4 linked regions of the Mytilus edulis genome follow. The protein of the gene in region 1 interacts with the protein of each later gene in a biochemical or structural test. Links are inferred from orthologs where the notes say so. Each region holds a gene or a part of one and is shown on either strand. Other genes may lie near its edges.

The links.
Region 2: the proteins of cullin-3-A-like (region 1) and kelch-like protein 20 form a complex in vitro, tested with the Homo sapiens proteins (2 studies listed by BioGRID and IntAct). The link is inferred for Mytilus edulis from reciprocal best matches to the Homo sapiens genes CUL3 and KLHL20.
Region 3: the proteins of cullin-3-A-like (region 1) and NEDD8-conjugating enzyme Ubc12 form a complex in vitro, tested with the Homo sapiens proteins (2 studies listed by BioGRID, with this or other methods). The link is inferred for Mytilus edulis from reciprocal best matches to the Homo sapiens genes CUL3 and UBE2M.
Region 4: the proteins of cullin-3-A-like (region 1) and DCN1-like protein 3 form a complex in vitro, tested with the Homo sapiens proteins (3 studies listed by BioGRID, with this or other methods). The link is inferred for Mytilus edulis from reciprocal best matches to the Homo sapiens genes CUL3 and DCUN1D3.

Annotation. Positions count from the first base shown.
Region 1 is NC_092346.1:79,309,250-79,317,015, reverse strand, and holds the start of cullin-3-A-like, read right to left. Parts: upstream 3,010-7,766; 5' UTR 2,799-3,009; coding exon 2,745-2,798; intron 1,826-2,744; coding exon 1,628-1,825; intron 1,337-1,627; coding exon 1,223-1,336; intron 647-1,222; coding exon 486-646; intron 1-485. UniProt on the Homo sapiens protein: Core component of multiple cullin-RING-based BCR (BTB-CUL3-RBX1) E3 ubiquitin-protein ligase complexes which mediate the ubiquitination and subsequent proteasomal degradation of target proteins.
Region 2 is NC_092345.1:63,003,252-63,010,887, reverse strand, and holds the start of kelch-like protein 20, read right to left. Parts: upstream 3,026-7,636; 5' UTR 2,711-3,025; intron 986-2,710; 5' UTR 932-985; coding exon 422-931; intron 51-421; coding exon 1-50. UniProt on the Homo sapiens protein: Substrate-specific adapter of a BCR (BTB-CUL3-RBX1) E3 ubiquitin-protein ligase complex involved in interferon response and anterograde Golgi to endosome transport.
Region 3 is NC_092350.1:42,402,014-42,408,968, forward strand, and holds the start of NEDD8-conjugating enzyme Ubc12, read left to right. Parts: upstream 1-3,945; 5' UTR 3,946-4,012; coding exon 4,013-4,121; intron 4,122-6,955.
Region 4 is NC_092352.1:76,468,863-76,476,605, reverse strand, and holds the start of DCN1-like protein 3, read right to left. Parts: upstream 3,028-7,743; 5' UTR 2,852-3,027; intron 1-2,851. UniProt on the Homo sapiens protein: Contributes to the neddylation of all cullins by transferring NEDD8 from N-terminally acetylated NEDD8-conjugating E2s enzyme to different cullin C-terminal domain-RBX complexes and may play a role in the cell cycle progression by regulating the SCF ubiquitin E3 ligase complex, after UV damage.

The sequences.
Region 1 (7,766 bases):
TCCAATAGGGACTTACCGTCCCAATTTTTCGAGTGAGACCCTATTCTATGAGGATTTCTTCATAAAAAAACTATTCTAAAAACATAACAGTCCTTGTAACTTCTCAAATACATGTACATGTAACATGCAACATAGTTGAACAAAATCAGGTTGATAATTATAACTTTGTCCATGGACAGATTACATGTGGCTAACTTTCAGTAAAACCATAAATTAAACAATTCTGGAACTCAACAGACAACTGAGTCCACATCAACAAAGTTCAAGAACAAATGACTATATTTTTCATGATTAAAAAATGGCTGATAGTTACTTGTTTTAAAGATATGTCATTTTGAGAACTAAGAACATTACAAACTTCAATTCAAATGCATCTGCCTTCCCTTTAAGGAGGGAGTATGATGTCTTTAATTGTATATAAAGAGTTTTTAACTAATGGATTTGTGTCATTATCTTTGCTGGTGACTATATTTTCACTAATTTACCTGTCGACCACCTCTCCTCTTCTTTCTTTTGCTACCATTTCTAACAATGTACTGCGGAGATGGTCCCTTATCATTGGATGTCTTACAACCTTCTCTCTAAATATCATCAGTCCAAGATTGTACACATTGTCTACATTATTTTGTTGAACATACACTCTGTCCTAAACCCAAAATAAATTGATATTTATAGGAAAATTATAAAACTTTCGATGATGTCATGACAATATCTGCCATGATTTTTTTATTCATGTAAAAAGTTATTTGCAATGTCTTAAAAGTATACACCCACTGGTTATTTATCATAAAGAAAAATCCATGCTGAGCTGGTAGAATGATAATTCAAATAATCATCAAACAAGACATGACTGCTCTGCTTATCTTAAAATAGCTTACACTGATGAACTCACTGACATCATTTTGAAATTCCAATCGAAATAACACATTATCTTTTAGATAAAATTGAGAATAAAGAGTCTGAGTAAAATGTAACAAGATATTCCATGACCAGTGTGTATGATAAAAATTTAGCATATTGTCAAACAGGAAGTGACTGTGTTGCAGATCTGAAATAAGGTTACAGTCAACTTCAAAACTATGAAGCATGAACAAACAGCTAATCCATGCTTAATACACAAGTGGAGTTATTAACGATAGAGAAATGGAAAACAAGTTGTTTGCAGTCTTTCATTAAAATACACTCTGACAGTGATTGGGATATAATAATTATATATACCTACCATATACATCAGTATGTCTCTTATCATAACCATTGATGTTTGGTGGTCATTCCATGCACTGTTTAACGTTTGCAGAAAGTTATTGATCAATGCTGAAAGAACATCTTCTCTTATCTGTTAATATAGACAGATTATAATTTAATAACTTTGTTTACTTACTGTCAATGATAAATTTAATAAAAACACCATCTAACATCATCAATTTCCAAATTTTCATGAAAAAAGCCAGGGGGAATTGGATTTTAAGTTTTATACTAGCACTCATTTCACAAAATGTTATCTTTTAATTTTGGGAAAGATATCTTTTATGAACACACTGTTATGAAAACTTGCTAGAATAATGGTCCAGTATTCCAGCTTGAATAAGACATATATTTCTCCTAACCAAATATTAGTATTACTTGCCTTGTCAACTAAATGATCTGTGACAACATCACGCAAACCAGTGTATAATTTTTCTCCATGTTTATGCAATACCATGGTATAGGCATTTCTATACAACTCCTCAAAACTAAGTCCACTGTTATTTTTTTTCTGGATTTCCTGAATGGCATTTTTCAGCAATGTCCAAATATTGTTAACATATTTTTCATCCATTGTCATCTAGAAAGAATAAAGGAAATATTTAAACTTAAAATTGAATATTGATTACATAAAAAATATGTCACTTCAGGGATGCAGTAGTTAGTTAAATCTGTCATGGGACTTCCATCACCACATTACCAAAATGTAGGTACAGTAATTTCCAACACATGTTGAGCCAACGTGTGAAAAAGTTTTATAATGCACAAAATATTTTGAAAATTAAAAACTTGTGAGATGGTCACCCTCCCTCAGTGGCAGGAACATTAAAATTACGTACTTACAGAACATAAATTATTTCCATTATACTACCCTACAGAATGATGATTCTGAAAGTGCTGAAAACTTTTAATAGATCAGGATACAGACTCGCTATCAATCTGGTTATGATACATAAAGGCGTACGAGAAAGACATGATTCTAGAAATGATGTACTATCGATAAGTTCAATAACAGTATTGTGCTTAATTTTTAAACTTATCCAATTTTGGTATGAAATTTTCATTAAAAGTTAAAAATGTTTACAAGATCTAATTGATATGTCATAATAAAAATGGGTCTCAAAGTTCCCCTCAAAATTCACTAGCAAAGAGAAAGTCCAGAATATGGCAGGACTGTGGGACAGCTTGGCACACAACTGTCTTACTCATAAAATGTGTACAATTACAGTTGATGACAGTTTAATATATCTTAATTGGTTGTATTTAATTGTCGATTGAACATTCTAACTATAGGCCTACTAGAAGTCCTCATAGAGTTTCCCATGCAGCAGACGTCTTTATTTACATTCATTATGCCACTTCCGTCCGCCATTTTATTTCATGATCCAAATATTATTTTTTTCTCGAAAATAAGTGTCTACAAGGATTTGCAATAAAAAAATACGTAATTTTGGTTTAATGATATATGAGTGGGACTTTCTATGTGGTCTTATACTTACTGGAAATGCTCTGATTCGCATTTTTGTGTCTTTGCGAGGCTGCTGTCGACTCATTTTCCAAATATATTAACTATAAAATAAAGAATGGAATGGGTAACCAAATAAACTGAAATGATAAAAGCTGATTTGTGAAATTCTTAGAAGACTAAGTCAAAAGAGTTTTGAGTCTCTGAATGTGTTCCTCAGGCATTTTCGCCGTTGACTTTTAAACCATTCTCGATGAAAGCCAAACAACAGATCTTCATTTAGTCATTTATCCGCAAACAAAAATAGATCTAAACAATTATTATGATTCGTGAGTGTTGGTCGAAATCAAAGACTTTCTTTAATATTTCAACATTTAGAAATAAATTGTTTTCTTGAAAAATACGGTTTGTAGTTCAATGTAGCAACGATTTAAAAATATGCACATTGATTTGGGGTTAAGTGGGTCATCGTCAATAAAGTATTAAGACTGGTTGTCTGCTCACTGCTATTGTATCATCTAACCAGACTGGTTTCCCTATTCATCTGAAATTGCGAGCAGCAAGTTTTCTAGTCTACTTTACAATCCAATTCAATCTAAATTCTAAATTCTAACATGGTATGAGTAGAAATGTAGTTTTTTGGAACATGAAAAACTTTAAAACTAGTTCAAGCTAATGTACTGATTTTGAGAATACCTCTGTCAATCATGATTGAAAAATTATATTTAATATTATTATTTTTATTTCTTGAGAATTTCATATATCTTTTTTCCAAATATTTTCAAATATTAACTCAATAAAAAAAAAACACTTGAAGTAAATGTCTTTTTACCAAATTCAACTTATCACCGTTTGTTCTTGTTATGAGAAGCACGACAGGTGCAGCTATTGGAACAGGAAAATGCTTATCCTTACGAAATCATGATACCGATTTTACAAGATTTTGGTGAGGTTAATGTTGCACAATTTAAGTTTTGTAGCGTTATCAAATTTTCTTCTTTTTTTTTCGGTAATGGTAATGTCTTCAAGTTTTTTTTTTTGTGGTTTTGAATTGCATATCATGGTCCTATGTGCTCTTTTTATTTGTTCACGACTTAAGTTTTTTAACAAAATTTGACAACTTTTAGTACTGTAATAAAAATCGGGTAAAATATCTGTGGAATATGCTTAGTATTTTACACATACAAGTTTTTGGGTTTATTTTATTTTCGACCAACATTCTTAACAGTCCGATGATAGTGCAAACAGAACATTTTTAACATTTAATGACATATTCATTGAATGCTATGATATTTTGCTACCGTGTTTAGAGGAAATGCATAGTTCTTCATGGATAGGAAGTTCAATAATTTGATCTTGATTAATTGTTTAATAGGAGTAAAAAAAATACCCCTCCTTTGATGAAAAAGTTACAATTCATTATTTTTTTTAAAAGTGTCAATGGAATGAAAATAACTTAAAACGGAGGTATAAGCGCCAAGAGTTAAGTGATATATATGATAGAGCATTGCACAGAAACAACAAAATAAAACATTCTATAAGCTGTTACAGTAGTTCTAAGCGACCCAAAAATTCTGACACATTTAAGAAATAGTTCAGATACGTTTTCCTTTACACCGTATGACCAACTTGATCGATTTATTTCTAAAGATTAATGGCATTCCGAAGAGGGTTTTTTTCTTAACAAAACTTCTTAAAAGTCATAGTAGAAACGGACCATTTAACGAACTATTCTTGAATGGAATGATATTCTGCAACTGTGGATGGAGGAAATGTTCAACATGCAGGTCTGGACATTTCCACAATCTTAAACAATTGCAGTACTGTTCCAGGTCCCTCATCCGATCCCTTCAACTATCGTGGAATCAGTTTTGTAAGCAATTTCGCGACAGTATCTTTACGTCGAATTAAAATACACATGGCTATTGATATGATAGTAATGATAATATCAATGATGCGCAGTTTATATTTCTATCGAGTTGAGCATTGTATCAATGCGATTTACTATATAAAGAGCTATCTAAAAGACAATGTTTATTTACTTCATTGATTCATTTGATGCCATATCAAGACACAATTTATTGATGAAATTGTACAGATTGAGGCAAATTGGTTACATAACTAAAATCAATCGGTCTTATGCTGGGGGCAAATACTCAAGTCTCCTTTACCATTTCAAGTGTATCTCATGCATGTATATACCATGATTGTTTATATCGAAATTCACATGCAATGACAATTCACCTTATGAATTACAAGATACGTTATCTGTGTCATTGTTTTTGCATATGTTCGTCAATGGAATGATTTTGTTTTCAATAGTTTTTTATAGTTTGCTCTTATCATGCTGTACTGTTACATCACTATCACAGGGGATATAAGACATTTAGGTGAAGTGCAATTTCTGCATTGATGTATGTTGTATTCCGTAAAACTTTTTGTTATTTTTAATTTGGGGTAGGTTGTCTGATTTGACCGCTAACATACGACACCATTCTTTCTAACGATTGGAATAAAAACATTTGAAAACATCACGTTATTAATTTCTTGCGTCCGAATAGCTTTTCTGGATTTACCTTCATCAGGAAGGCTCAAAGCCAAACATTTGACATCCGAAGATGTATAAGTACCGAAACCGTTAAAGAGCTATATGTCAAAAGGTGGAGTTATCTGTCTGAATTCGGACTTTGTTGCCTGGATGTCTTTTGTAGTTTTTTTTCTGTTGTTGGGTTATTGTCTCATTGACGTATACCTATATAAAATAGCCATGCATTCTTTTCATAGAAAAATAAAACGCTTTTAACATCCCCAGTGACATACAGATTCTTTTCTTATTCGAAACTTACATAATTCTATTCATCGCAAGAACAACAATAAACTTAATTAAAAGTATCACAGTTATTTATTAGGTAAGAATGTAAGACAGCACATATATACATGTATTATAAAAATAACAATCTATGATAAGAAGTAATGGTTTACAAAAATAATTACTTGTAACTACTAGTTATTCAGATAAATGAACTTGTCAGTCATTGCAGAAAATAACATTAAAAGAAGTGTAAGATTTCTTTTGAATTTGAATTAAAGTTAACTGGTTTTTTTTTCTTCACTTGTACAATTGTTCATGGCTGTCAACTTTGAAAGACAGAAAAAAAAATAATGGACTTGAATTATGGTTGTCATTTTTTTTTCTTTTTTGTTGTTGTTGATTGTTTGTACACTACTGAGATTTATACGGAATATAACCATCTATTATATATGCGATACTTTGTATGGCCACGCTCAACAGTAAATATTGTGTTTGAAAATTGTGAATTTTGGAACTGAAAATGACAGTGTAAAATCCGGCGTATTATTGCTTCTTCACTTCCTAAAATCATATTCTGATGAAACATTGTTCACGTTAAAACCAAAGCACACCCACAAATTAATTATATACCAGTCAATACAATTTTACTGCGCAAAAAACATGTTTGCCATATATATAAAAGAAGAATGTCATTACACGGTTTTGGAATATAACAATGATTTGATCGAGGATCAGAAACCGGTAGGAATTACAAGGCTTATCGAGCATTTGTATTCCGTTTCGTACCCTACATGACTGGCACACTAACTACACAGGAACGTTAAGAAAAGGTCTGTGAAATAACAATATGATAACAATGTAACAGGACGGAATAAATATTAAATACTAACCTATCAATATAACAATATGCATTGAATAATATTAAAAATACAATTAATTATAAAAACACAATTATTATTAACAACTTTTTAAATGATTGAGCGCAAATCAGTGATTAAGATTAGTAAGCAGCAGATTTGAAGAAATTCGTTGAAAAATATTACGTGAATTTTAAGTTTTTCCACAATTATTTCAGTCACAACAGGAAATATTTGGTGTTACAAGTGAAAAATGATTCCAGATTCATCGGATCAAGTTGCGCAAAATTGAAATCAGTAGTGGTAAAATGGAAAATTAATCAATTACCTCTTACAAATATGTTTATATTTTTACTTGATTGAAATAAACGCAGAAGTCAGAAGTATAAACTGATGTAATGGAGAGGGGGAGAATTCAATATTGGAATTGCTTTGTGATGGAAAGCCACATACATAACCTTGTCATTAATATTCAAAAAATCATAAAAAATATATGTCTATAGCAAAGTAGCACTTTTGATACGAAGACCAAACAACATAGCATTTATAAAAGCAGTCTCTACAAAACATTCACTTCAATGTATCTACATGTATACAATGTTCACAATATACAATCTGCCCGCTTTAAACCCGAGACAGTTATCATTGGTTAACATTACACCTTTTTTAGGTTTTTGTCATCAACCAAAATAAAAACTACAAACAAAATGTCTGCTGGTTGAATGGATTTGAATGCATTCTTTGCATGATAATAGCTTGTTTCAATATCAACATTTCTGTTTTGTTGTTGCCTACTACACTTAAGGATGCTTCATCCTCTAATTTAGATATGCTGCAGGAAGTGTCACTTGTCAACTATTGTAACGCGTGACTTTGCTGTCACACTGAGAATGCAAATAAATCAAAATGAGATCGCCTAAAGTAAGGGGTAATTTAAATCGGACTAGCCCCCTTTTTAAAAGATCCACACTGTCTACGTTTAACTCAGATAAAATAATTATGCTCGAATAAAAACGCATCAAATATACCTGGCTTATTTTTGATCATCAGACGGACGTCACATCTAAATAAGACTCGTCAGTGTAACTCGAATCAAATACAAAGTTTAAACGAATTGTAATTGAAATATTCAAAAAATTGTGTCGAATACTAGTACAATGAAGGCAATATATGGTCTAGGGTAGAGCAACATTAACGTTTTAAATAATTTAACATTTATTGGTGACATCTTCGGGATTAAAATAAAATGCGAACGGGGTATTAGATTTATAAAAGAGAAAAAAAAAATATCTAAAAAGTACATGGAGGTATATGTAGCAGTAAACAGATCATTGCTGTCGTCTATGTTGAAATACCTTTTTTTCGAATGTATAAATGTATATCGTTT
Region 2 (7,636 bases), on another chromosome or scaffold:
TCCACTAACTGGTTCACTGGTAAAAGCATGAATTCTTCACTTTCCATTACCTGTAATGAAACAGATATACATCACAAAATTATATGTACATATACATTTATATGAGGTATTTTTAATCAAATAAAAACTTGATATCTAGAGTTAAAACTACAATGTATTAGTCCATGAAAAAAAAACATACATGTTTTGGTTATGTCGGCTCTTAACACTAAAAATTTGAGACCAGCCCTTTATCATCTATAACTACATGTATCGTCACAAGTTGCCTTCATATTAGAACAGTGGAGGATTACTTATATATTTAATGCTACATGTAGTTTAATCCTGATGTTTTCAGGATATTTATAAAGGATTTTGAATTGAATTGATCACATAGTCCTGTTGGTTAGAAAATTTGTTTTAATACAGAGTAGTACTTTACCTCTTGAAAATTATGTTGGGTAAATTTATCCGCTATCCGTAACAAATCTCTACATGCATGTGTATCAGCAAATGCTCTTATACCAAGACAATTTGATGGATCTAATTGTCTCTTAAGAAATTCACAACAAACATCTTGTATTTCAGCAAGCTGTAATAAACAAGCTGCTGGCAATAGTGTTTGTACATTACTTTCTTCCACTGTTATGTTGGATGTGTAACAAAAGTCAATGAGGAGTTCCATAGCTGCCTCATCAATGTCTCTAATTGTCACTTCTGTCTGTCTACTCTCAGCAAGTTCACCTGTAAACATGGCATGAAAATATGGACTGCACGCAGAGAGTATCACACGATGAGCAAATATTTTCCTTTGACCAACAATAAGGACAACATCACATAGTTCTCTGTGTTTCCTTAAGACATTAATTGATTCTAATGTATGTCTTGGATGTTTATCTGATGTGTAGGCAAGTCTGGCAGGAGAAGCAGCTCTCTCCATTTTGTTGTTCATCTGATAGATGATGCTAGTTCTACTTTACAGAAAATTATTGTTTGGCATTCCTTTCTGAAATGAAAATGTTGCAAAAGTAAAATACAATATCAAACAAGTCGTAATTGAAAACAATGCTTAAACCTATGATTGTGTTTGATTAAAAACTGCAATTTCTTTATGTGTATGCAAAACAATTTTTTTTTAGTAGCTAGAGGGGTCTAAATACAGCACAAACAACATTTTTCATAAAGACCATGAAGTAAAAAAATAGATTTTAACAAACACATTTGACTCCAGCTGGTCAAACAACAGATGTTCTTACATGTAAACACTGCTCACTGCCATTGAGATTGCCTAATAAACAGATCACGTATTCACCAGATGTAACATATATATATACAAGTATATACAACCTTAAAAACAACATCAGCTGTGTGACCTGTGTCCATACAATTTGAAATATATGAGCCAAATAGCATTGTCTTTTGTAAACATATTTCAAATTGAGGTAGGTAATAAACGTTAGATTGCTTTATATTGCACAACACTGACTTTGCTTCTTATACAATGTACAATTGGTATCTGCACAGTTAGGTTTATATGTAGTTTGCTGAACTGTAAATAAGTACAGCACAAAAAAATCCTTTCATCAAATCAAACATCATTTAACTTTTTTATTCCAATATTTAATAACATACACATGTACATTTGTACATTAATAAGATATGCAAAGACAGGAAATACTGTCTTTCTAAATTTTGTCACAGTAAATTTTAAAAGGCACAAAATTTCACCTTAGATTAAATCAAACTTTCCTGCATAAGCAGCATAGAGACAAACAAGCAAATTTCCTTCAGTTAAAACAGCACCAACAGTTGTTTCCTCAGAAATTTCTCCTCAAAAAAGCATAAACCTGTTTAAACACATTAACTTTGCTTTTATACAAATGTACATTTTGTAGCTGTAAACATGGTAAATATATGTTTATTTAGATAAATGAATTGCAATCATATACAATTACTGTCTTTTGATGAGGTAAATATGTGGTTTTTATTGAATTGGAAAAACTGATATTCACTAAGGCCAACGCCCAAAGTGAATGTCATTAGGTTTTTTAAAAGTCAATTAAACCACATATTTACAGAAACAAAAGACAGTAATAGTTTAATTCCATGTTCAGACAGAGAAAAATATGTATGTATTAAACAGTTATTTACCTAAACCAATTGTATGTCCAACATTTTACTGTTATTGTACATGTAATAACATGCAAAGATTTGCGTGGTGAATATCATTCAATATCCAATTCATATAAAAAAAAACATTCTAAAATTAGATCAATATAGAATATCTTAAAATGTTATTCTTAGTTGTATCTATGCTATTAATGATTATGTTCATAATTGAGCTTTCTTTAATAAAATATTTCATATTTATTAATTATAAATGACAAATAAAAGATACCATAAAAATTAGGATTTGTAAGAATAAGTTAGAAAATATAACTCTGCCCATATGATATCTAGTCTGCAAAATCATCATGTGTCAAATGGGGGAAGACTATGTTGTGTACATAGAGTAAGACATCTCTATATATCTCTGATGTACCCATGCATTCTATGTCCATAGCCAAGTGAGTAAACTGATCTAATCATCAATATTCATAATATTTATGTTCAAAGTTTTTTAAAATATTTTTTATGTTGCTTCCATCATTATCCATTCTTCTTTTATTCAGTTTCGATTTCATCAAGCTATTAATCTATTAACACAGTTGAGCTATCAATTACAACTTACAAATATAAAGTTTATTCTGGAGTTTTTGATAATCTTCCTGTCTTTTTAAATATTATTTTGATTAATATTTGTTTAAACTTCCTCTGTAAAAATTATCCCGACCCAAATAAATAAATAAGGTTTCTCGATTCTACTGATGAATTTGAAGAAGACGTGTAGAAATCATCATCTGGGTTCGAAAAATATTGAACTTAAACAAACCATTTGACCTCTCAGTCTAAAATGTAGTTAAAGTAAATCATTTTGTAAGTAAAATATGTGACCATTTGTTGACATTCTTCTGAGCCAAATTTGGAAATAGGAAGTTAAGAAATCGTGATATGACATAAATCAACTTCGGTCTATTCGATAGCATCCGGATTTCATATCGGTATGGTCAATGCATCACCATTTGTATAGTATAGTTCACCTGAGACTACTGTTATCGTAGTCTCAGAGTTCACGTATAGTTAGTATATAGTTCCTTAGTATGGTGTATTTCTAATAAAACATTGGCAATAGTACTACTATGCCCAACAAGGAATTGCAAATTCAGGGCCGTAACTACATTGACTGAGGCAAATGAGACAAATGCCTCATGTAAAAAAAAGGTTGTTTTCATATCAAATTGTTTTCACGGAAAGTGTCTTGCAAGAAGCAAGTTCTCTTCACTCTCTGGTGTATCCCCTGGATGTTTTTCGTTATCCATGTTTCTATTTCCTTTTAGTTTTCAGAGTTGATGGCCTATTGTTTGTACTTTTGTGTTCCAGGTTTGACTTTTGTTCATTTATTGTCCTACTTTATGACTATAGTCTGAGTGTTGACTTTCATTTGTAAACGTGGTTTTGCAATGTTGCATGTCCACCGATGTCCAGAATTGTGCGAGAAATATATTTAAGAACATGCGATGCTACTCAGTGGACACAAAAAAATCATACCTGTCCTTTCTGCATGGATAATTGAAATTGATATCAAAGAATAAAAACAGTTTGTTTTATTGTAAATAAAACTAGATAGCTGACATGGTTTGAATTAAAGTAAGGTCACATATTTCCCAGTATCAAATAATTTGAAGAAAAAAAACAAGGTTTTGCCATATATGACCTTTTACATTGAAAGGTTAAATTTGCATTAAGTCGTGCTGAGACCCTTTAACAGATAATAAAGGAGTATGGGGACATAATCGCACACAAAGCCAATGTATAGAAGCAATACAAATGATCAATGGTCAAAGTTTGTGTTCCTGCCTTTCATCTTGATAGTTGCCGTAAGGTCTTCAACAATACATTTAAAGAATCATCAACACCGTAAAACAAGGTGAAGATGGTCCCTAGAGTGGACTTAAGCAGTACTAGTTCTTAAAGTATGATACTGCAATGTCACTATATTTAAATCTATAGTCATAATAAAACTCACCCAAGTCTAATCACAATACAAGTCAAGAACAGACAGACAGATACGGTATTAATAATTACAAGTACACACCCGTGATATCGCGGGTCCGTGACTGAATTAAAGTATATAACTATGCCTAAGCCTTATTTTAGTAATTGGTATTGTCATCTGATAAAGTCATGTCGATTATAAGATACACAGTTTTCTCTGCTTTCAAATCTTTCTGTTTGAACCCGTCGACCTGGAACTTATCAATTATTGGAAATATTAATTATTTGGAAAACAAAAGGTCCAGGCTATCCAGGAATGGGGTATTTTTTTAATCAACAGCATTGTCCTATATTAGTTATCTTAGAAAGTCTTGCTGATTGCAGAATAAAGCTACAATAGGGAACAATTTGACAATGATTGAATTTAGTAGTGTCAGCCCTTTGATTATGACCCGTGTATATAGCAAAATCCTAAATACACCGTTTGGTGGTGCGCCTGTCAAATGCGGAATGTACAGATAAGGTAATAGCTAACAGGTGAATATACTATTGGTATCGGTATCGGATTAGACCCGGAACTTGTTAATTATTGGCAATATTAATTATGTGGAAAACAAAAGGGTCTGGAGTGGTGTAATTTTTAATCTACACCATTGTCCTATATTAGTTATATATAGAGTTGAATTCTTTGATATGTCGTTTTTACCCGATGACGGCTGACAAATTGGACCTCGTAATTTTAGTATTATAGATGAGAATAACGATTTTTGCTTTATCCTACATATTGGTCTTTTAATGTTGTCTCTAATACCTAAAAGTCTGAAATTACAATGAATCTTTGCTTTGGGACCTGATTGTCGAAAAAAATGTCTAAAAATTAATTAAGCCGTTTCAATGCAAGAAAGAGTCTGGGAAAAGCTCAGAATGCACGATTTTGCGTTATTTTTCTCAGAGCTTCTGGGGCCGCCTCGCCCAAAATTTTTCGCCTCGCTCCACTCGGCAAATATATTTTTCCTCACTATTAAAAGAGGCTAGTTACGGCCCTGGCAAATACCCTTTCTTATCCCATTATAAAACTGAAATTTTAGTGACAATAATCAGTGTTTTTAATAAATTCGTGACACTTAAGTTTAATTTCCAGAAAAAGATACTTATAGTTAAGTTATGAATACAACTATTCAATATTTTTGCAATACTTAAAAGTAAAGTGCATCATATGATTATACAGAATATTTAATTTGCGTTATAAGATCTTATAAAGCATTCCTCAATATGTGTTCGATATTCGCTTGCATTTTAACATGCTCTAGGCTAAAGATGGTTTCTCAGAACTTTCCATTTCATGAAACTCTGATGTTGTCATATTTTGAATTAACTATCGTCTTGCGGTAAATGGTTAATCTGGACGTTGGATCGTTTTGAGACACAAAAATTAATAAAGTGAAAAGTAAACACAAGTTATGACAGCCTGAGACATATAATATGTATTAGATGTCTCTGGTTATGATCAATAAATATTTCAAAAAGCAGGGATCCTTTTCCAGTATGTAGTACGGTGACCAAGTAAGGAAAAGTCGCTTATTTAAGGAGTTTAATCGTCATTCAGACTATACGGCTATAAATCACAGTATTGGTAGTGCAAAGGTTACACTTCACATTTTGACTTGTCGTCAAAAAATCGTATGGTGCAATTTTTGTAAAATGGGCTTTGAAGTTCATTCCCTTATTTTAAAGAAAAACTTACTTTTATAAGATTTTAGGCCTACATTCTTAAAGTGCATTCTTGATATGCTTCTTGTTATTATATATATTGTTGTTACATCTTATTTTAACAATTACAAAAAAAGTTTAGCAAAATTAATCCGTTATTGAAGAGTTTTTGTAGATATTGAACACTACGAGTATTTCCATTTAAATAATAGAGTAAGTTTCAATTCATTTTCATCATTTATTTTTTCGCAAAATGTAAAATAATCAACATTTATTTGATATTTCAAACTTTTATTAAACAAAAGTTTCAAAATCCTTTATCTCAGAAGCATATTTTGACTTGTACATTGAAACAATATATACACTATAAAATGAAGATACAAGTTTTCCTCTTAAAATTCGACTTGTACAAAAATATTGAACCGGACCGATACTGTTATTTTCATCTATAAATAAACTCATCATAGATACCTAAATTTAGTATATACGCCAGACGTAAATGATTTTTTGTATCAGAAAGATTTTTCATTGCTAAAATTTGTTCAATTCGATCGTTTTTGTTAGTTCATGGTCCCATTTCGGGTTGGTTATCGTGTTTTTATGTATTTTTAAAAAGCTTTCTTATTTTTGTATGTTTACTTGGTATGTTTATTTTTTTTTTAAATTATTTCAAAAATTAAGAACCAAGTCTGAATTTGGAAAATGTTTGAATTAGGAAGTCCTTTACGATTAGGTCCTAGTAGTCAATTGTTATCAAAGGATTATAACTCATTACGCTAGACGCGCGTTTTGTCTACATAAGAATCATCAGTGATGCTCAGATCAAAATAGTTATAAAGCCAAACAAGTGCAAAGATGAAGAGCATTGACAACCAAAATTCCAAAAAGTTGTGCCAAATACGGCTTAAGTAATCTCTTCCTGGGATAGGAAAATCCTTAGTTTTTCGAATAATTTAAAGTTTTGTAACAGGAAATTTATAAAAATGACCATATAAAAAAGGCAGCACATGTGTTTTAACTTTGAAAAGTTTATCGTTTGAAAGAGAAGAAGTACTGAATCACTTCCTTTACTATAAAGAGTAAACGTTGCTTTTTAAGTTCTGTTGAAAGACTTAATGATGGAATCTGCCAGCAATATGTTGAAGCGTATGGGTTTTTTGTTGAAATTCATGATTTGGTGAACCAATTCGACTCTGATGTCTTTTTGCACTTTCCCTACCTCCGATTGGCCCATCACTCACAACTTAGACCAGTCTGAGAGGTTGTATCGCATTGCTTTTTAAAAATGTATTGATGATAACAAAATTAAAGGATTGGTGACCTTGCAGCTGACTATTATAAAAATGTAACCCTATGCTTTTCTCTAGCGCACACACTAGCAGACATTTTTTACCGCTACGATATGAAACACTCAATAAAGTTGTCTGCTGAAAAGGAAAGCCGCACAAAGACTACAGCTTCCAACAAGTTGTATCAGATTATTGAAGTGAGAAGGATTCCTGACTGGAAAAAAAAATTCTGTTAAAGAAAATCAACAGGCTCTCCATAATTTCTTTGATACTTTTTCTTTCTCAAAACTATGACAAGTCTCCTTCTACCTTATAGTGGGCTATACTTAGCCGGAACGTTTGTAAATCAGAAATTGTAGAAGTTATTTTAAACAATAATGTTAATTGTAAATGACTGTCGTAATTTGGTTAGCACTCAACAAAGGCCAATACTCGTATGATAGTTAATGCCTTATAATTTGACATAAAGTTAACAGAAATAGGAAAGAGCGACAGAATAATCATACGGACCTCTGATACGGGTGTAATTGTTCTGTATGTTCACTACTACAAACAGATACAAC
Region 3 (6,955 bases), on another chromosome or scaffold:
CTTTATGTAACATGAAGGATTTGCATACATGGCATACAAAGTATGAAGCATCCAGGTATTTTACCTTCATACTGATGCTGCTACAAGATAGTAATCCCCCTGTCTCTGATTCTGTGGCAATTAAGATTAATTGATTGATTGTTGGTATTTTAACACCACTTTTAAGCGCCACTTTCGGACTCATTTGTGGCGTATAGGTGGAGAAAGCTGGAGTGCCTGAAGAAAACCACAGACCATCAAACAGAAAATCGACAATCCTCAATTAATGTTGGAATGATGTTACATGTAATGGTAAATTTTAATACATGATGGTAAAATGTACAATTTCTTTTAAACAATAAAAAATTGACTGATTTCAAGAAATCCAGTTAATTTTTTACCACAAAAATAAGGTAAGACCAAAAAAAAATATATGTCTGTTTAAGGTTACATCATCAAAATAAATAGGGTAGGTAGGTCGGTATTTCCATTTTATTATTTTTTATCATTTTATTTTTTACGCCATGATTTTGAGTTGTGTGGTCCGTCTTAAGGTGGTTTGAGTTGTCCATGGGCTCAGTTAACCTGTATTTTTAATGATTGAATTATTTCCTTTTGTTATTGTATGTATTGGTTGGAGAAAAAAAGGCGGCAAAGTTTTTATTTCATTACACGAGTTGCGAGTTTCCTTAACTTAAAACAGCTGTCATATTCAGAATTTCACGATTGTGAACATTGGGATGTACCAGGCAATTGATTAAATTTATTGGCAATCCTTACTTTGCTTTTGACACAAGTTCTATTAATTTTTCACTTTACGACGGAAATAAAATGGCTTAGGGTCGGTCGGGTAACTGTAAACAGAGTGAATTTTTTTTTTTGCCTAATGTATGTATGTACTCGAGATTCCGCCAATTTAGACGCACCCCTTGATTGACTGCAAGGGTACAGCGGATCCATGTAAATTCCCTAAGGATTAATGGAGATGTGTCCTTTACAATATTATCCCACCACCAGAACAATCCCCACCCAACACCGCCCAAGGGAGCGTGTAGGACACCGGGAAGTCTGTTATTATGGTGAAGGAAGCTGAAGTACTCGAAGAGAACCACCGGGCCACTCAGTGGAAACAGACAAACCAGAGAGATATCAGAAGATTGATCTCCAGGTCAAAGTAGGGGACAACTTTGACCAACCGAGGCCCCCAAAGTACCCATTCTAGTTTAAACTCCGGTGTGGGTACCAGAGATGTGTGTGAGAGGGTGAAAATTACCCTTCTGATGTACTGATATTTTTAGCACCCCGAGTGAGAATTGAACTCGGGACCTTCAGCACTGTAGCCATCGGTCTTAACCACTAGACCACGAACTCACACATGAGATTTTACCAAATCCTTGGTATGTTCGAATTTAGAATACTGCTCTTCAGTTTGGTCACCTCACACCCAAAAACAAAAAAACAACATTGAAAAAGTACAAAGAAGGGCAGCATGCTACGTCACCAACAGGTACCCCAACACCAGTAGTGTAACTTCCATGATTGACCATCTTCAATGGAAGTCATTTGAAACTCGCAGACACATCAAGCGAGTAACTATGCTGTACAAAATCTCACACCATCTCATTGCAGTAGATCCAAACTTTTACCTTTTACCACAGCCAGTCAATAACACCACATTCACTAATTCATTACAATACATGTACCAAACATTTAGCACAAGAACAGATTACTTGAAGTACAGCTTTTTTCCATTCACAGTTGTACTTTAGAACTCACTTCCAGGGGTAGAAATAAGAAAAGACCATTGACTTGCAAGTCAATATGTATATTAACTTGCCCTTGTATCTGTTAACTTGCCCGACTAACGAGCATAGCTCGGCGCACTTACGGCGAGGGGTCTGGGGTAAATGGTGCCAAATCCTGCATTCTAGACCTCTCCTGGCAGATGATTTCAAGTTTCTATACACCCTTTTTTAAACAAAAACTTTTACTTTTACAAAAAAAAGTGACAAAAAAATTTCAGATGTACATGTAGAAACTGACCCAATTGTCAAATTTCCTGTAAAAAATATGCTTCATTCTAAACAATGCAATTATAATTTATTTTACATTTTACAGCAATACTATAAGAGCTTGTTTCTACATTGAATGAATTTGAAACCTTTAATTTTGTAAAGAGAGTCAGCCTGTTGAAGACCTTGTGGTGACCTCTGAATGTTTGCTGCTGTTGTTGTTCCTAGTGAATTAGGTGCATCTGGTCTTTAATACTCTTTATGTAACTAACTGACAAATTCAAATAACAATAGGTAATTGTTCACTGCAGAAATGAGCACATTTAGTATGCTCAGCTATAAAGGTAAAGAATTTAAGATAGAAGTGGATGAGAATATTTTAATTTAATTATGTATGTCTGACTTTTCGTGAGCATGTATATTGTCCTTTTTATAATTTGTACATCCTATTACAAAACTGCCACTACTTCCAAACTGAACGCAAACCTCACATGTCATCCCCTTTTCTGTGTCTTTCAGCCATTTAAATTCATCCAGCCATTTTGTTAAAAATTTACGTTTTCTTTTTCCCTCTTCATATTTTTTTTGTTGCTCAACCCTGTTGACGTTGGATTCTTTAAGTTTTTTTAAAGGGGGGACATAATTTACTAAAAAGTTTTCCATTTGTTTCTTTCTACTTTCATTTTTAAATCAACTCAAAAGTCGTTTGCAAAACGCGTTCTGATTGGATCATTGTATCGACTTCCTTTCACAATTAGTAGCGGAAATCCCCGAGCAGGTGCGACTGAACATTCTAAAACGACGGCGCTCATTGGCTTACGCATAGGAATTGACCAATAGAATTATTCGGGACAAACTACGATGTTTACGATTTTCCTGGCATGCGCATATGAAATAAATAAAGAGGGCGAAAATAGTAATACAATAATACACAGTTGTACATCGTACAAAATTACGTCTGACATAGTTATACAAATATTTTATTGGCACAAATTCATTAACAATAAATGGTTAAGACCTATTGCATATATTATTATATTAATTGACATGATAGAATGAAACGCAAACACAAAATTTCAACTTGCCCGGCGGACAACTATGTGATGAGATTCACTTGCCCGCTGCAGATTTTACTTGCCTCGGGCAAATGGGATAGCGCTTATTTCGAACCCTGCACTTCCACAAAACGTTATCAGTGTTAACTCCCTGGATCAGTTTAAAATACTGATCCAGAGACTGGCAGAGTCAGTATATTTAGATATCCATGAACCTGTTTGTAAATATGTAAATGTGTTAATTTGTTTTGTTTTTGCACAAAATTATTTTTTAATTATTGCATTCATTAGTTATTATATTTTATTAAGTGCATGTCTGTTTACAATTCGCCGACGTATAGTCATCAATGTGCTGATGGATCGTCGTAAATGTAGATGTAGTTTGAAATGTCTAAGGAATCTCGATATTTAGGATATTCTGACATCAATTTGAAGCTAACGGTAGCCAAAAATAACCTTTGACGCTGGAGTGTAGAGTCAATTCCTACCTCAATCAAACTTTACTCACTAAATTATTTACTGTTATAGTGTTACCAGGTTAAAATAACAGAAATTTACATGTTCATAAAACTTGATCGGCTAATCTTTGAAAGGTAAAGATTACTTATTTTAAAACATTGTGGTCTGATTAATTGTTTTATTTAACAAAACATGAATGACATTTGCGTCGTAATTCTCTAGCAAGGAAATAGTAGTAACAAAATAGGTTTACCTTTCGCTGCCAAGGAAGGAATGAAGTTTACCGGAAGTCGGTGTAAAAGTCAAAATTTAGAATATAATTTGTCTTCGGATATTTTTTATTTTTTATTTGACAAATAGGAAAAATGTACGAATTATTTTTAATTTGAAGCCTGTCAGTATTTTTTTTATCTTTCGCCAATAAGATAATCATACGAAATTTTAAGCGGAAGTGCTTTATTACGCACTGGGTACTTTCACAATAAAAAAAAAAAACAGAAGACCAAAATGATTAAGTTGTTTTCACTAAAACAGGCGAAAAAAGACGGTACCGATGGTGGAGAAAAATCAGGAACACAGAAAAAAGCATCAGCTGCACAGTTGAGAATACAGAAAGGTGAAATCAGAAATAGTGTCTGAGAAATTCAACGAATTTATCACATTCCATTGATTTGAGTAATGCCATAAAGAGGGAATTAAAGTCATTTTGTACCCTTAACCTTTCGTACTCCCATTTCTTACCCTGACAGAAACCACTTAGTACCCTGACCATTTTGGTATTTCATGGAATAATATGAGGCAGGCATAACCTGTGAATGGGGACGAAGTCTGTATGTATTATTTTTTTTTTTTACCTCAAACATGTTAATAAAGGAAACTGAAATACCGTAACGTTCCCGATTTCGGTTCTGTGGTTAGGGATTTAGCTGTGACGTTGTTTAAGTTATGACGTCATATTCAATGTAAACAAAAGAAACGCTTCCATCAGGTAACGTTTTTTTCAAATCAAACTGTATTCTGTATTCTGTAGGTGTCGCTGTTGACACTGGATTGTCTCCCTTGTAATTATTTAAATCTCGCGTGTATTAATATTTCACTCTGGTAAACAACTCACTTGTACTTTAAAATACATACTATTAGGTGGCAACTGTGCTTAACATATTTTTTCCAAAAATTAAAAAATATATCTACATTTATTAATTAACATGAAAATTTAAAGGAAAAGAAAGAAAAAAAAAATAAAAAAAATCTAACATTACATTAATCAAACCGGCGCGACTCGCAAATAAAGTCACCCAACAATCGCATTAGTGTTTCATTAGAGACGGAGACATTGTCGTTTTTTTCTATTGACAATAAAAGTTCCAAATCAATATGTAACGATCCTGTGTTGAAGTATATCTCATGTATAAGTTTCTGTCTTGCCTCTTCATAATTTTCACAAAATAGTAAATAATGTTCCACAGTTTCTAATTGACCGCATTCACACTTTGGGTCTATATTTTGATTGATTTTGTTTTGATAATTTTTTAGGTAGTATCCGGATCTTAAATTTCTAATAATTTTTGCTGTTTTGTGATCTGGATAATTAAATGTCGATTTATTGCTGACAGTCTGATGAAAGTTATAATAAAATCTTCCTGTATCACTATTATCCCATCTATGTTGCCACTTTTTATTTACTAAAATTCTTGCTGCTGTTTTAATATCTTGTTTAGTTACTGTAATATGGGCTTCTTTCTGAATTTGATTTGCCTCTTTAGCTGCCTCTTTAGCTAGTTTATCAGCTATTTCATTTCCTCTAACATCTGCATGTCCTGGGGTCCAATCAAAATTAATTCTTATTCCATGGTGTTTTTGGATACATTTAATAAGGGAAATAATTTCATGTGAAGTGGATCTGTTATTTTCAATTTTCCAATTTAATGTTAAGATTCCAATTGCTGTTTGACTGTCCGAAAATATTTTTACTTCTTCAATTAATGTTTTGTTTTCAATTCTGCTTACATAATCTAATACTAATTTAAAATCAATAATAATAAAATCAAACAATTATTAAAAATGAAATTGTATTGAGTTCCAATCTTATATTTTACTAGACTGATACATATAATTTTCTTTTCAAAGTCTCATGCAAACAAGACAGATTTCTGCGCAAAGCGGGGAAAACCGGAACAGGAACTAGATCTGAAAAAAAAAGTTAACGATTTTGAGTTCATTAGTAGAATGAAAAATTCGGGAAATTTTCCCGATTTTTTTTTTTTTTTTTTTTTAATAATTGATTTTTCTACCGTAATTGGGGACTTCGTCCCCATATTAACATTTCTCTAATTTTTGTGCTATTTTGATCGGTGTGAGAAAAATATTTTTCCTCACTAGTGAGATATCCGTTTTCGGTAAATGATAAGTCGAAATGTGATTATGATGTCAAAATGTTTTGTTTTCTTCTGAATTTTTCTATTATGACGTCAGGAAAAAAAGTGACCATGCATGATGACGTTGCATATGAAGACATCTCCAAAACATCAACAAGAATTAAACAGATGTACAAACAAGGTTCAAATGTCCAAGAAATGAGTGACACGTTCAAGAAAGAACTATTCCAAAGCATGGACAAACATATACCAGCCAAAGAATCCGCTCAAAAAACAGCCTTCCCTGGATAACACTCAAAATAAGGAAAATGTTCAAAAAGAAAAGCTGATTATACCAACATTGCAACAAGCTAAAAGAACAAAAAAATGGTCAAATTACAAAAAGAAATCAAAAGCCAAATAAGAAAAGCTGAATGGTCATATATCAACAACACCATACTAAAGGGCCTAGAATCAAACAACACCAAGCCATTCCAGAAATACAACAAATCCAGAAAAAATGACAACATTTGAGCATGTTGAGTAGCCCCATCAAAAAACAAAGGGAAACTCATCAGCGACAGTAAAGGGAAAGCTGAAATACTAATACAGCTATTCAAATCAGTTTTCACAATAGATAAAGCCACAACAATACCAGACACAACAAAGCATATTAAGGAAACCATACCAAACCTCATAATAACAGAAAAGGGACTAGAAAAACTGCTAAAAGATGTCAACCCATCAAAAGCTTCTGTACCGGATGGATTCTCAAACAGAATTTTGAAAGAATGTGCAAGTCAAATTACACCAGAACTGACAGCAATCTTCCAAAAATCTATAGACACTGCAACCCTTCCTCAAGACTGGCTAAACGCAAACATACATGTATCATGCGTTTAAAAAAAAAGGCGATAAACACGCTGCTGAAAATTACAGACCTGTATCGTTGACATCAGTACCATGTAAGATCCTGGAACATATAATATGCAGGCATATAATGAAACATCTAGAAAAGCATACTGTGTTAACATCTTTAAACCATGGTTTTAGATCAGGTTACTTATGCGAAACCCAAGTACTTCAAACCTATATT
Region 4 (7,743 bases), on another chromosome or scaffold:
ATGCGAAAAAAATGATAAAATCGTGACAAACTTCGGCTTCAAAACAAGAACTTTAATTACCTGCCATATTTTCACAACAACATTGACTGATTGAAAAAAAATTTGATGATTGTATGAAATTTATGCAAAAAAAATGATAAAATCGTGCACAGAAGACTAAGTTTATGATGTTTGTATGGATTGGTTCAAGAATTGGAATAACATTATTTTTCACCAGTCACTCATTTATTATGACTTTAAATACATCATAAATATCAAAATATAAAAATGTCAATTAGTCACGGTTAAAATTAATATTAATTAATAGTATTAGTAACTTCTAAAAAAATAAATGAAGAATGTGTTCAAAGGGACACAGATGATGCCCCCGCTAGCATATAACGTTATAAAGGGACATAACTCAAGAACTGTAAAGTGAAGCTGCCAAAAATTGAACTTAAACTGGGTTTAGAGGTAATAAGCATTATATATACAGATTTCATTAAATTAAGTGGAGACAAACTTAAGTTGAGAGAACAGAAACTAAAAATTCTTCAATTTTTCCATTTTTAAAGGGGCATAACCCTAAAATGGTATAATCAAAGTGCTTGTAATCACTGAATGGTAAAGATTGCTTCAATTTATCAGTTGGTAGTTAAGTGAATATTGCATTGTATATTGTATTGATTTAAGTTGATTCAACCTCTATTCTGGACAAAGAAAGATAACTCCAATTTTCAAAGAAGATTTCATAAAGCATTGGTTTTAGCGCATAGGTGATTTAACAACCATTCTGGACAAAGAACGATAACTCCAATTTATTGTCTTGAAACTACAAAAATGCTTGTTTTTGGTCCCTTGTTGGCCCTTTATTCCTAAACTGCCCCATAACTCACAAAATATATATATCCTAACCTTCACTTATGATATAAATATGTCATAAATATTGTGGTACAATTTCAAAACAATTGAAATACTTATACACAACTTTTTGTACTGACACTAGATAAATGCTTGTTTTAGGCCCCTAATTCCTAAACGTTAGGGACCATAACCCCAAAAATCAATCCCAAGCTTCCTTTTGTGGTTATAAACATTGTGTTAAAATAAGTTATTTTCCGGAAACCATCCCTCTTCGGACAACGCTGACGACGATGACAACGTGATACCAATATACAACCACAAAAATGTTTGCTGTCGTATAAAAATCTATAGGATAATACTTTGCAATTGAAGATTTTTTCACAGAACTTTTCAAAAATTTGAAATTTAAAAAATTCTGAAAAACAAAAATATGAACCCCTTTGAGAAACTGGAACCCCCAAAACTTTTTGAACCCCCTCCTTCTTGGAGCAATTACCCCCAAACTCAATCCCAGCCTTCCCTATGTGGTATGGAACTTTGTAGTAAAAATTTAGAGAGTTCCATACACTTAAATACAAGTTATTGTCTGGAAACTAGAAAAGTGTTTGTTTTTGGCCCTTAACCCAGAAATCAATCCCAACCTTCCTTTTGTGGTATTGAAGCTTGTTGTACAATTTCATGGACATACACTGTAGCATTATACAAAAAATATGTGCAGTCGTATAAGAAAAACGACTAATTTGGGGAACTATCTGACTTGTAAGTGGGACTTCATCATGTTCATAGTTTGGTACAGACATGACAGGGGACTATCATGACTATCCGACACATTTATGTTTGGTACAGGACAGGGGTCCATCTGACTAGACTAGTGAGATATCAATGTTTGGTACAGCCAGGACAGGGGACTATCGGACTAATTATAAGACTTCAAAGTTTGATACAGATCTAGACATGAACAGGGAACTATCTGACTAGTGAAACATCAATGTTTGGTACAGACATGACAGGGGACTATTCAAATAGTGGGACTGCAAAGTTTGATACAGGCATGACAGGGGACCATCTGACTCTTGGGACTTCATAGTTTGGTCAAATATGACAGGGGATTATCTGTCTAGTGCATGTAGTGGGACATCCATGTTTGGTACAGACATGACAGGGATCTATCTGACTAGTGGGACTCCAAAGGTTGAGACAGGCTTCACATTGTATTCAGTGGGGGACTCATTGGAGGGGGAGGGGATCTGATCCTGGATCCTGCTTACAGTTTTGTCAGAATTCTAACCTGCTTTTCGTTGCCATAATAGTGCATATAATTTTCTGTGTACCACCCGGCTTTGTTTCCAGATTTCACGCTTATTTATTAGACTTTCACGAATCATTCTTAAAAAATCAGCCAATCCTGTGTCACACTAAGAACCCTACGAGACCCACTTCAGTAAATTACATGTGAAACAAAATAGGTGATCTATTTTTCTAACATGTCTCATTTAGAATGTTTAGGAATAAATTTCTCTGTTTTCTAAGTTTATTTATTTATCCCTCCCCTTTTTTTTTTATTAAGATACAGGTCCAATAAAAGACCAACATCATCACCAATGAGTAGTCCAAATAATTATGACGTCTTGAAAGGCTATTATAATTTTTTTTTTTGACGCCTTACATCGATGTAAGGCGTCAAAGAAAAAAATTATAATAGCCTTTCAAGACGTCATAATTATTTGGACTACACCAATGAGATGTTCTTTGTCTTAAATTCTTAATTTCTTTGTCTATGTCTATGGGTACGTACCCAACCTTTATTTCGATCCGTTTTCTTAAATAACACAGAGGTTGGAAGGATTAAAGAAGTTTTAATGTCATTAATTATTTATATAGTTAGAAAGCGTGATTATGACAACTTAATAGAAACTGTGAGATCGATAACATGCAAAGCGAATAGGTCGATAAAACAAAAACAAGGTAATGCATTTGTGCTTCAGAATTGTATAATTTGGTGAATCACCGAAATTTCTGGCAGTTTGTCGTCTTGAAAGACATCACTTGGGTATTTTCTTTATCCCTGCATACAACAAATATATATATCCGTGTTCCTTTTGCCAGAATCTGTCGATTTCATGCTGATTGTCAGAGAGAAAGAATAACAAATGGTGGACTTCCTGTCGATGTGCGATGTACGTCATTAGAATATGTGCATATCTCCTTAGTTTTTACCGCGGGGAAATTTAATTTTTGTGACAGATAGATATTACAAATTAGAATCAAGTAGGCTAGTTCAAATCGGAATTGCTATCTACTATAACTTAATAAAACTAATTTAAAAGTTCAGATGAAATTGAAAAAGTATTAATGAACCAGAGACATTACGTTTTCAACAGTCGCCTTTTGTTTTGCATAAAAATACTCACGGTTTGTATGTATACATGTAAAACACGGGGGTAACTTCGATATTTTTTTGGTAGGGGTGTACCATTTTTGCCTCAAAAAACCTACCCATTTTAATATAACATTCACTGAAATTCAGTACCTATAGTTATATAAATATTTAAGAAAGAATGACCTATACTTATATACAATATTCAAAATATGACCCATGCTTATATATAAGCACTAACTCATCATCACTCATAATTCATAAATATACCAGCTACCCTTAAGTTTTTATATATGAATTGACATCGTTAGGTGCACATATATGTTATCGTTATATATATGATATGTAGATGACACTGATACCCCAAATGATCCTAAATCAATATACAGTTATCAAACGTAAATGCATTTTAATATAGGATGTCATTAAGAAGGTGGGTCATTTTTATATAAAATCTTGCAAAATTATATGACCCATATTTTTGGCACATCCCCGTATACCCAATAATAGGAAGTTACCCCCCCCCCCCCCCCCCCCCGTGATGTAAAATCAGTTACTTAGTACAATATTAATCTCCACTGATGCCCTTTGAACAATTCAAAATATGCAATAATATAATATACATTTACATACAGTATTTTTATGCAAAACAAAAGGCGAAAAACATACGGAATAGGTTCATGAACATATGTTGTTAATGTCAGATGTACAAGATACCTTTATGGACTTTTATATATTAGGTAAATTTCATTTGATAATTACATTTTTAGTTTAGAAACAAGAAATTACAAAAACTTTTTTTTTTTAACTGTTCTATCGTTTCTATCTTTTTTATTTAAACAGGAATACTATTCCAAACAGAGGCGGATTTAGAGGGGGGGCCCAGGGGGCCTGGGCCCTCCCTTTTTGGGAAAAAAATTTGGTTGCTTATATAGGGCATCACTGAAGTGTGACTGGAGCGGGCCCCCTCTTAGGTCAGTCAGTGGGCCCCCACTTATGAAAATTTCTGGATCCGCCACTGCCAAAGAACGTTAACTGTACCGGAATATTGAAATGTTTCTTCATATAAAATTTGTTCTCGGACGTGGTATGAAAAGACATTTATTGTCCGATGAACCCAAAGAATATCTTGCCTTAACATTTTGGTTATTTTCGTTGTTTGTGATCGGCGCATTTTCGCTATCGTGATCCGTTTTTCAACAGATATTTTTTTTTATATGAGACAATATCTGAAAAAGTCTATAATTTCCATGTCCCGCCTTTCACCAGCAATTATTTTTTTATTCAGGCATCTTTTTGGAAAATTTTAAGTTTCAGTACTGATTAACTCGAGTAAATAATGCACCAACTGCAACCAATTAAACATTCTTTTTAATATTTCATCTAATAAAATATTATAATATAAATGGTCAACCCCCCTCCCCCCAAAAAAAATCATGTTGTCCCCTGTTATTTTCTGAAAATTGAATCATTCAAAGAATATCTTAATTTAAAAGTAAGCAGCTTTCCAATTTTCACAAATCTGATAGATTATATAATATACTTCTCCATTACTGGTCTTATTTTGTTATAACTAAAGCATGTAAGAAAATTTTGCATTTTTAAGGGTCTTTTGAATGTTGTCCCCAGGGGTACTTTCCCTCCTGTTACCGCTGGGGGTTTTCCACCTGTGGACACGTTTGAAAGACCAAAAATTTATTTCTTGTAATGTAATGTGAAGAGCATCATTTCCTGAATGTATGAATCCATTTGTTTAGGTGAATAGCAGCCAGTTTAAAAAAACTGAACTCCCCAAAGATAAGAATTGGAGAAAAATAATTTTGTTGTTCTCTCCTGTTACAGCCTTTTTGTGTACCTTCTGAGAATATTTCATTGTCAGCACTATAACAGTACATGTGTTTTATACTAGTATCTTATCAAATTGATATGTAGATGAAAGTAAACTTCTACACAATTCGAGTAAATGAACAAAAAGGACTGCGTAATTCCTTTCTGTTACATTCTGTCATGTTACCTAATAAAAAGAAACAGCATAACCATAATCAGTAACAGGAAGGATGTTCAAGACAATATCACTGATGAATCAAAATATTAATCTACTATATGTCAACCATTTCATTTAATATAAGTTATCATCACCATATTAAATAAATTTCATAGTAATATACAATATATTGAATGAAAAAAAATAGTTTTTTTGCTTTTGATAACAGCAGAGAACATTGTGCAATTCTATAGTATAGTAGATAGTAACAGAAAGGAATTTATTTTAGAATTTTTCATTACCTAGGCAGATTTTTCATCTGTCAAATACAGTTTCAAAGGATAAATGCTATTGTTTGCTGTTATCTTCCAATGGTGTCCAATCTGAAATAATGTATTTTTCTTTTTTGAGAAAAAAATCCTTTCTGTCCTGTTACCGTTGTCCTGTTACTCAAAATTCTTTCATGTTACCGACATCTCTGACTATATTTTAGTATATTTCTTAATCTTTTGTATTACAAATGTTAAAATCAATAATTGGCATTTACTAAACTATTACAGGATATACTAGTAAACCACAAATAGTGTCTTAAAATTATTCCTTATTCTCATTAGAAACTTTTTAAAATTGATTCATTTTGGAAACAGGAAAGAACTGGAATTATTTTGTACCATTTTTGAAATTGCAATTGTTACCACATTTAACAATTGTTTGAATTACAGACAACAGTTCCTAGATCCCCAATGTGTGCTCTTCGGTTTATGCTATTATAATACCGGGTCTAAAGACTTTTTTTTTGATTTTTTCTTATTGCCAAAAATTAGACTTTTTCAGATATTATCTCGTATATATTTTCGTGATCCGTGATCATGGAAATTTAGTTTCTGTGAATCGTGATTGACAAAAACATCAACTCGTGAATCGTGATATGAGACCCCCCCCCCCCCAAATCAGGCCCCTCGTTTATGTCTCTGATATAATATAGATCATAAAATAATAGTATTGTATCACAGTATGTTAAAACTAATTCAAATCCAATAGTTCTAAATTAGCACAATCATTGCTTTTACAAGTCTGATCTCCACTCCAGTTTGCAACTTGCGCGCACATCTTCTCTAGGTCAAAAAATGAAACGTTTTTACAAAATGTCTTTAAGTACATGTTTAACTGTATATAAAAATTGCCGTTTTTGAAGAGCAAATAAAATAAATATGACAGTGCATGGCTGTTTTGCCATCCCTGATTAAAATATCCTAAATTAATTCAAGTCGGTAAAATAGTCTATAACTCTAGAAATGGCTATTTTACTAGCACCAGCAATAGAGTGCATTTCTTGCAGAGTGCTGGATAAATAGAATGTTATTTTTCTGTATCTAGATATAAGAGGAAGCTAAGTCACGGGTAGTAAGGTCGTCATATCGAGGAGCGTTTAGTACAGTTATTTTGTCATAGTTTGGATAAGTTTGACATGATTAATTTATGTTACTTCCCTAAACTATTGCCTCAGTTCTATTCACACGAGCAGATAAAAAGCAAATAAAATGCTTGAATCTGTATTGGAGGTCAAACGATCTATATTGGAATTGTTGTTTCACGAAATTAACGCAGAATAAGCAAGATATCGGAATTGCTATGGTTTGGTTAAGCGATTGACATGGTTCGGTTAAGAATCTAGAAATTCGTCATGGTTTTGGTCAAGTTTGTCATGGTTTAGATCGAAATAAATATATATATGTGTTTCACTCTAATACTAAAAATTGATTGATAGCGCCTGTTATTGAACGAAGTAACACTATATATTAACTGCCTGAGAAGAAAAAAAGCCTGTTTAACCAAATTTAGGGGGTGTAATCGACAAAGCGTAAATTAAACATGTCATGTGACTTTTCGTAAGTTTTTTTTGCAAAAGAATTTAAAAGTCACTGCTATTTTAAACTAGCTTTCGATATAAGTATACACAACAATACAAAGCGTTGCTTCTGTTTCACATAGAGTCTTTTCTCCGTATGTCCATGCTTGGCTCTGCCGGGGATATCGTGAGCGGCATCACTAGTCAAAGAGCTAAAGACTCCTACTCAAAAGTTGCAAAAAAGTAATTCTCGTTTTTACATTTTCGTTTCTAGAAAACTATAAATTTGTTAGTTTTTCTTTATTTTAAATTTTGAACCAATTTATGATGAATAAAAGGAGATGTGGGGTTATAGGTCCATGATACAGTAACCCAACTACAAAACTAACCAAAAGATATTGAGAGGACATCACAAGTCTTCAACCATTTACGAAACCGAATCGTTACGCCTGACATGGACAACAGTTTTAAAACTTATTGGTTTTAAAACTATATGTGAAAATACAATAAAAAGTACTTTCAAAGTTCGAATTTTAAATATGAAAGATCACAATTCCGATTTGGATTTAAGCCGACATAATGTTCAAGTTTATCAATTGTTATTACGAATCAATAAAAATCTTTATAATATTGTATAAATGCATCGTGTAGTATCACTAAATTCTTTCAATTATTTTACATTTTATGTAA